Linked DNA regions of Danio rerio. The protein of the gene in region 1 interacts with the protein of each later gene in a biochemical or structural test. Links are inferred from orthologs where the notes say so. Each region holds a gene or a part of one and is shown in the gene's direction. Other genes may lie near its edges. The genes, in order: slx4 and eme1.

Region 1 (3,909 bases):
TTGACTTTTGGGTGTAATCTGCTAATAGAATCTGGCTATGAAGATATGTACTGTATGTACAGAATTAGTGACAAGTTAAACCATTTCCAATTGTTTGCCATCTAATACAAAATCCTGCAATATTAGTTAAGAAGCTATTATCTAAGCCAAAGGTTCTCAAACTGTTCCGTGTACCACTAGTGGTACATGGAGAAATGAAATATGCCATGTACATGCTACACACATTTCAAAATTTATCAAAAATTATGTATATAATATGTCATAAATTACATATGGCCTGTATTTCTGAGGTAATCTGCCACGTTTTTTTAACTGTGCAGAGTTGTAACTGGGCCAACCACGCTCCTGTATTTCAATACTGCTCATTTTGGTGGGACTTGAAGAGACAATTTTTTCTGAGGTGGTAGGCCTACTTGATGAAAAAGTTTGAGAACCACTGATTAAGCTAAATCAAAAGACAAATTTACACTTGAATATTAGAGGGCAATTACCACCGTAAACAAGCTACTAACAAACATAAAATACACATTGATAATAATAATAATAATAAGTTATTATTATAACTGTTTTGACTTGCCCTCATGTTACGTTCGAACCACCCCCGACTACGGGCATGTGGTAATGTTCAAATAAAACTAACATGAGCGCAATGAACCATTTTTAACACTATAAACACGATGTAAAACACATTGTTTATGCCCACTAATACATTTATTATTGTTTGCTAATGCGCTCGAATTGTAATATGTTACTTAGAATAAAATAGAAATGTTATATATATTAATACATCATATATTAGAAGGAAACTCTAGTTATTCACTACGTTTTTAAGTGCGTATCATCTTTTTAGCAACTTCGTTTTATAAGTTATATCACATGACTCGGAGATGTTTCGCAACAGACGCGGCCCTTACGTCAACGCGTACACATACGTCACAGGAAGTAGACGGCGGCGGGCGACTGCGGCACTGCAGTTTGAACGTTATCGGTAGCTGCGGCACATTTTAATGTAAAAATCGTTGTTTTTTAACATACAATTATTCATGTTAAATACATAACATGACGTTCGCCTTAATAATGGTCTATATTTAAGTTGTTATCAAGTAAATCGCGTTAAATGTACGTCAACCGACATAATTCCGTTCGAATAGTGGACAGTAAAATGTAAACAAAGGTAATGTACTGTAAATATGTAACGTTATTTCTTTACCTACAACTCTCCTTGGTCTTGATGCACATGCTGTTTTTAGAAGATACTCTTAATGTATGTCATTCGTAAAATAATTCACGTAATAGTTAACGTAATGGGATAGTTTATCCGAAAACAAAAAAGATGTCGTTATTTAAAAGCTATGAGTTTCCTCTGTTAAACATCAGTAACGTAATTTCTTTATCCTACTGTGTTAGTAAATGGTTACAGGTGTCAAACATTCTTCAATATATATATTGTTCAGCAGAAGAAACTAGTAAAGTGTAACACTTTATTTTGATGGTCAAAATAAATACTCACTTTTCATTTGAGTATTAGTAGACTGTCTGCTTGATATCTGTTGATACTGCTCCTTCAACAGACATTTAACTGACTATAAGAAACTTTGCAAGTACATGTCAACTTACACTAACTCTAACCTAACAGTCTGCTTATAATCTAATGAGAATTAGTTGGCATGTAGATGCAATGTAACTAAAAGTCAACAAATGGACCATCAAAATAAAGTGTGGCCGTAAAGGTTTATAACCACTTGAGGTTGAGGAAATTGAAAGTAAGTTTAATTTTTTAAGTGAACTATCCCTTTTACACATTTGACAGATCATGCATGTAGTAGCTTATCATGGACGACTCGGACCAGGACTTCAAAGACCTCTGCTCGCGGCTCCTCAAAAGGGTACGAAGGAAAGGACCAGCAGAATCTGGAGATGAGAAACGATCAGCAACCAAGGATGAAGAACCATCCTCTCCGTCATCTGGAAGAAACCCGCCTAAGAGAAGAAAGAGGACTAAAGATGCGGTAAAGACTCAGCTGAACGGCAGGAGTCAGACTGCGGTGTCTGCTGGTGCTCCTCAGGCTGACTCTGGTGTGTCTGCCACGGGGAAGGTGAAAGATGCTGTGATCCGGAGAATGCAGCAGTTTAAGAGAGCCAGTCCAGAGAGACTTTTACATGCTGAGACAGATGGGAACTGTGACGCTCCTGATGGGGTCCAGCACACAGGTACGGTGACCAGTCAGTCTTAATCTTTAAGGGAGAGTTCACCAAAAAAACGAAAGTTTACTCAAAGTTTACAAGTGGTTTTAAATCTTTATGTGTTTCCTTTTTCTGTTAAACACAAAAGAAGATATTTTGAAGAATGTTGGAAACATGTAACCATTTACTTGCATATTAGGAAAAACTAACACTATGGAAGTTAATGGTTACAGATTCTCAGCGTTCTTCAAAATATCTTCTTTTCTTATCAACAGAAGAAAGTTAGTCAAACAGGTTTGGAATAAGGAAAGGTGAGTGAATAATGACAGAATTTAGAGTTTTGGGTGAACTATCACTTTAACTTTAATAAAGAGATTAACTTTTTCGACATTACACAAGGTAGTGCAGATCAGAAGTAATGAAGTTAAAGGTTTTGATCATGTCTAATGTTTTAATAGCTGTTCAGATTTTGATTGAAGATTGCAAACGTGTAGTTTCAGTGGATTAACTTGCACAGATTAAATGCTTTCTTACAGAATAACAATGAGCCCTAGCAAAATATACATTAAGTGTGGCCAACCCTGTTCCTGGAGAACCACCTTGCTGCAGATTTCAGTTGCAAGCAACCCATATCAAACACACCTGAACCAATTAATTAGGACCTGAACACCATGTGATACTTACAGGCAGGTGTGTTTGATATGGGTTGTAACTGAAATCTGCAGGAAGGTGGCTCTCCAGGAACAGGGTTGGCCACCCCTGGTATACATTATACATTTTGTCTTTAAAAAAAAAAAAAAAAAAAAAATATATATATATATATATATATATATATATATATATATATATATATATATATATATAATAAATTAATTAGATGCACTGCTTGATAGGTATTTAAGGCCTGACTATCAGATAGATTTATATAGCATAGCTTATTTACATTCATCTGACATACAACAGTTATACTACATTTATGTAAAAAAAAAAAAAAGTACATCCGTAAAGTCCTAAAGCAAAGGACATCTGTTAAAATTTCAGCTGAATCAGTGAGTTATTTCTTAACTTGTATGAAATTTAATAGTATTAATTGTTTATGTTTTGTTGCAAAAGAATGGCTTTATAATAAGTGTTTTTATTGAAATTATTTGTTAAATTAAGTAATAATAAATTGTTATACTGCCATACATTAAAATCAGTTAAATAAATCATTCAGTTTTTAATTTAACCTCACGTCATCACACAGTTTGTGTTAGTGAAACTCTTCACAGGTATGAATTCATATTTAGACTCCATAATTGGACAGATTTTACAAAACATGGCTATTAGGGCTGCATGATATTGGAAAAAATCTAAAATTGCATTATTTTACTTTTCTGCAATAAATATTGTGATATGAAGAGTCTCATAAGATAGTTTGATGCTAGTTTGTCTTAAGTGTATTATTCAGGTACAGAAATTGAATAATCGCAATACAGATAAATGCTTTTCTTACATTGCTTTGTCTCGTTTCTACTTCAAATATCAAAAAATTATTAATCAAGTGAAAATATTGTTTTGTTTTCAACTCCAGAAAAAGTTAAATTATCTGTCAGTGGGGTCAGTAAAAAAAATAATAATTACACACTATGAATCACTTAAGCATTAGCATATAGTAAATTCATTATTTGTTAAGCATTAACTCTACATTAATTGATATCAGTAATCAGTTTATAACTGCAGATA
Region 2 (3,940 bases), on another chromosome or scaffold:
AAACAGGGTTGGGAAACACTGCACTAAGCAGTAGTCAGAAATTATTATTGTGTCAACAATCTCTTTCGGCAATTTATTTTGAAGTGGAAATAAAAACAGGATGTCTTATCTTTGACACATGTGTAAAATGCAAAAATAACAGCAAAATACTGTAATGTATTAAAAACATCTTACATGAGCTCCGGGATGCCAGCGCATTAAACCCTTGCGTTGTGTTGCGAGGATGTTGCCTGCATGTACAAAGTTCCCTTAAAAGAAGCAAAAAATATATTAAAAAAAAGGAAAAAGAAAATGAATTATAAAAACACATGTATACAAAGACTAGCAGTAGTAAAATAGTACACAAAATCATGTTATGGTTTTAATATCCTATCAAGGTCAACAGACAAAAAGAAAATACCATCTTGTTTTTTGTAGCCGTATCTGCGACCAGAACTTTTTCCTCCAAGGTTTTTGCTGCTCCCTCCTGACTTTTTTGAAGCAAACCTTGCCAGTACAACAGTGGGCGTTTCACTGAACAGAATACCTGCAATGAAAAATAGCATCTAAATATGTGCAACATGCTGGATGACATTCTTCATTGATATCTGTTTGACAGAAATGCTCGTGAACTAAGCATCAATTTAACCTAAGTCTTAAAGATCTAAATGACCATGTACAAAATGAGGCAAATCGGTTAGGTTTAACACTTTGTTTAATGTTGATGTTGCAGTCAACACATGCTCAAATTGCAAATGATGTCTTAGCATGCCACTGTCAACTCACAGTCATTTCTGATCCCAGAAGAAAAAGCAGTCCGCTATTATTACGTCATCAGTTATTATTCAAATCATGTACACAGTACATGATACAATCCTAAAATAAAATAAAAAAACATGACATTTTACTTACATGATTTGGATCTCAACAGCAAGGACATGAGCGCCGCCATCTTAGATGACGTAAACGTGACGCAACGGGCGCGTTCCCGTGATCCTTCAGGGCCCGCGAACCGCAGAATTTGGCTGGGGTGAGTAGAGAGAGACACAAACAAAGTTCGCGAATGTTACATTTTTACAGCTTGAATAGATGATTTGAGAAGATCTGGAGTTGTAAGAGCAGTTGTACCTCTTCAATGCATATGGTTTGTGTTCTCAAGTTGGAAACGTTTGTTCTATGCTGCCTTTCTGTTCGTGTATGCCAATGTAAATTTGTCTGAAGTCATATCTGACGGTTCTTTTCATGTTTATGGCTGAATATTGCAAAGCCCGCACTGTTTTACTTATCCTGGTTTAATATCCTGTGTCGACCAAATAATCTTTTTAAAATTTTGTTGAATTAATCATATTTCCTTGATAAACCAGTAAAACATTCCACAGAGTGGACTGCTTAACTGGTGTTATCAGTCTCTCTAATATGATTCCGAATCTGCAATAAGTCAATTATAATAAGTTAAAGTTGATTTGATATTTGCACATTCAGACTTTCTCTTTAATAATATAACTTCAGAAAAGTATTCTTTGCAAACTCTAAACAGTGAAATCATATTAGCAGCCCGTGGCTATTAAAGTATATTATTCACAGTCAGTTAAATAGTGCTAATGGTATTTCAGAGCCAATATGTACAGTAGCCTGTCGCAAGTTGTCACTGACTCACTGTCCCAAAATGAACAAATGTACGAATACAAAAACAAATTTACCTCAATGTCAATTATAAGTTGCCTAGCTTGGTCAGGTTATGTTGAAACTAAGACTTGTGGTAAATGATTCACAGTTCTAATCGGCTAGCAATAGTGTGTGTGGTAATCTGTTTTGAAGTAATTATGCAAAAAAAAAAAAATTAAAAAACAATTATGATTTATACATATTATGAATGTTTAAAATGTTGCTGAAAATGTATTCAAACATTTATAATATACTATTATTATTTTTTATTAGTATTTAAGACTGTTTTTGTTTACCTGAATAAGATTAAAAAATAATTATATATATATAATATATATGTCTATATGTCTGTGCACTTTACCGCTAGGCTATTGGCACTGACCTGAATAAGATTTTTGCTATAAATAAAATGCTGTAACATTTAAAGTGCAGTGCAGTATTTTAACAAATTATAAATGTACTTACTTATTTATTTATTTATTTATTTATTATTATCATTAAAAAACATATATTATTAAACCATATCATGCAATACATATAGTGTGGCACATTCCATCTTGCAATTTGTCTACATTAGGATAAATTAAGGGAATTTACAGTGCTCCGCATATATGAGTACACACAAATATCTCATTTAAATATTTTCTTTAGGATTTGCAATATTATATTTGTGGATATACATTAGTTTAGTCAGTACTGAACCCAAATGTGGAGCCTAACTAACAAAATAACAAAAATAAATAATAAAAATAAACAAAATAAAAATCTGTAGCCCAAATTTATATGTTAGTGAAAATATTAAATACATTTTTTCAAAAATATCAATAATCAAGATTTTTGCTGAAATGTTTTTGTCATAAATCTTTTTTGCAATATTTAGCTTGAATTTAATTGTATTATCTTTCCATTTCTAAAGATGTTATGTGAATAAAATATTATTTTAATAAACATATCTGTTTAATAAAAAAGCTCTTTTTGACAAATGAGTTAAACTAGTAATTTGGATGGTAAAAGTACAAAAATGTAAAATTACAATCAATTGGTATTTTGCAACCGAACTTTGAGTCTTTTAACATGTCAACAAATGATTCTTGTCTAAACATGCCTGATAAGATTTTTAGGCTATGTAAGTAGGGCAGTGCGTTTTTTCTCATTTTTTCTTTTTTTTTGACAGATATTGTGATTTTATTTACGATTTAATTTTGTAGTTAAGCTTCAGTTTAATAATCTGTAAACCGTGGCAACAATTCTGCGACATATCTTAAAAATGACCTGTTTTTGTTTGGTGTTTGACGTTGAGACCAAAATATTCCCATATTACAACAGCAGCAGAAGCCATAATCCCACTTGTCAGCGCTTTTCTGTTGTTTGTTTTTTTATTTTTGATTGTGGGCTGAGTTCGGTTGTGCAATTCTGATTGGCCAGAACGAAAGTGTGCTCACTCATTTGGCTAGTAAGGCTGTCACACACAGCCAGTGTTCTGTCGATTTGTCAGACCTTGACACATGACGCATTATGCTACCCATCAGATTTTGCTACCAGTGTACATTTTAATGTGGATTAGTGTAATATGAAGTTGTAATATCGCCCTAACCTACCTAAACCCCAACCCCAACCCCAACCTCAAAGCCATTAAAATACAGTGTTGGTAGCATAATCTGATGGGTAGGATAAAATGTCAGAATTTGCTCTGGGTGAAGGAGATTAACTTAACTATATTAACTATATATATATATATATATATATATATATATATATATATATATATATATATATATATATATATATATATATACATATATATATATATATATATATATATATATATATATATATATATATGTTTTTTTTTTTTTTATTGCAGCCTCTTGCGATTAACTAATCGTGATGTTTCAAATTGCAATTCAATTTCAATTAATCCCACAGCCCTATATGTATAAATTGTACCCTGAATGCCAATTAGAGGGTGTCTTATGGTTAATATTTTTATTCTTAAAAAGTAAATTAAAAACAGGACACATTCTAATGGAGAGATTTTAGCTAAATTAGAAAATAAGTATTGTTAAGGCTGCTAGATAATAAACATTTTACTCTAACTTTTCTGTCAGACTACAGATTTTTGAATGATACCTCAGCATGACTTGCGTCAGCAGACCTGGATTCGTCTTAAGTGACAGTGAGTCGAGTGATTCAGAAGAGCTGCCTGTGTTCGATTTCTCTCAGTCACAAACCAGACAGACCAACTTGGTGGTTTTAGACAGTTCAGACTCAGAAATGGCTCCTGTTGCAAATCCAG

What was found.
Region 2: the proteins of slx4 (region 1) and eme1 form a complex in vitro, tested with the Homo sapiens proteins (3 studies listed by BioGRID, with this or other methods). The link is inferred for Danio rerio from reciprocal best matches to the Homo sapiens genes SLX4 and EME1.

Annotation. Positions count from the first base shown.
Region 1 is NC_133197.1:27,513,289-27,517,197, forward strand, and holds the start of slx4 (structure-specific endonuclease subunit SLX4), read left to right. Parts: upstream 1-936; 5' UTR 937-1,174; intron 1,175-1,210; exon of another isoform or gene 1,211-1,378; intron 1,379-1,810; 5' UTR 1,811-1,832; coding exon 1,833-2,211; intron 2,212-3,909. UniProt on the Homo sapiens protein: Regulatory subunit that interacts with and increases the activity of different structure-specific endonucleases.
Region 2 is NC_133187.1:23,440,798-23,444,737, reverse strand, and holds the start of eme1 (crossover junction endonuclease EME1), read left to right. Parts: upstream 1-971; 5' UTR 972-1,123; intron 1,124-3,752; 5' UTR 3,753-3,780; coding exon 3,781-3,940. UniProt on the Homo sapiens protein: Non-catalytic subunit of the structure-specific, heterodimeric DNA endonuclease MUS81-EME1 which is involved in the maintenance of genome stability. In the complex, EME1 is required for DNA cleavage, participating in DNA recognition and bending.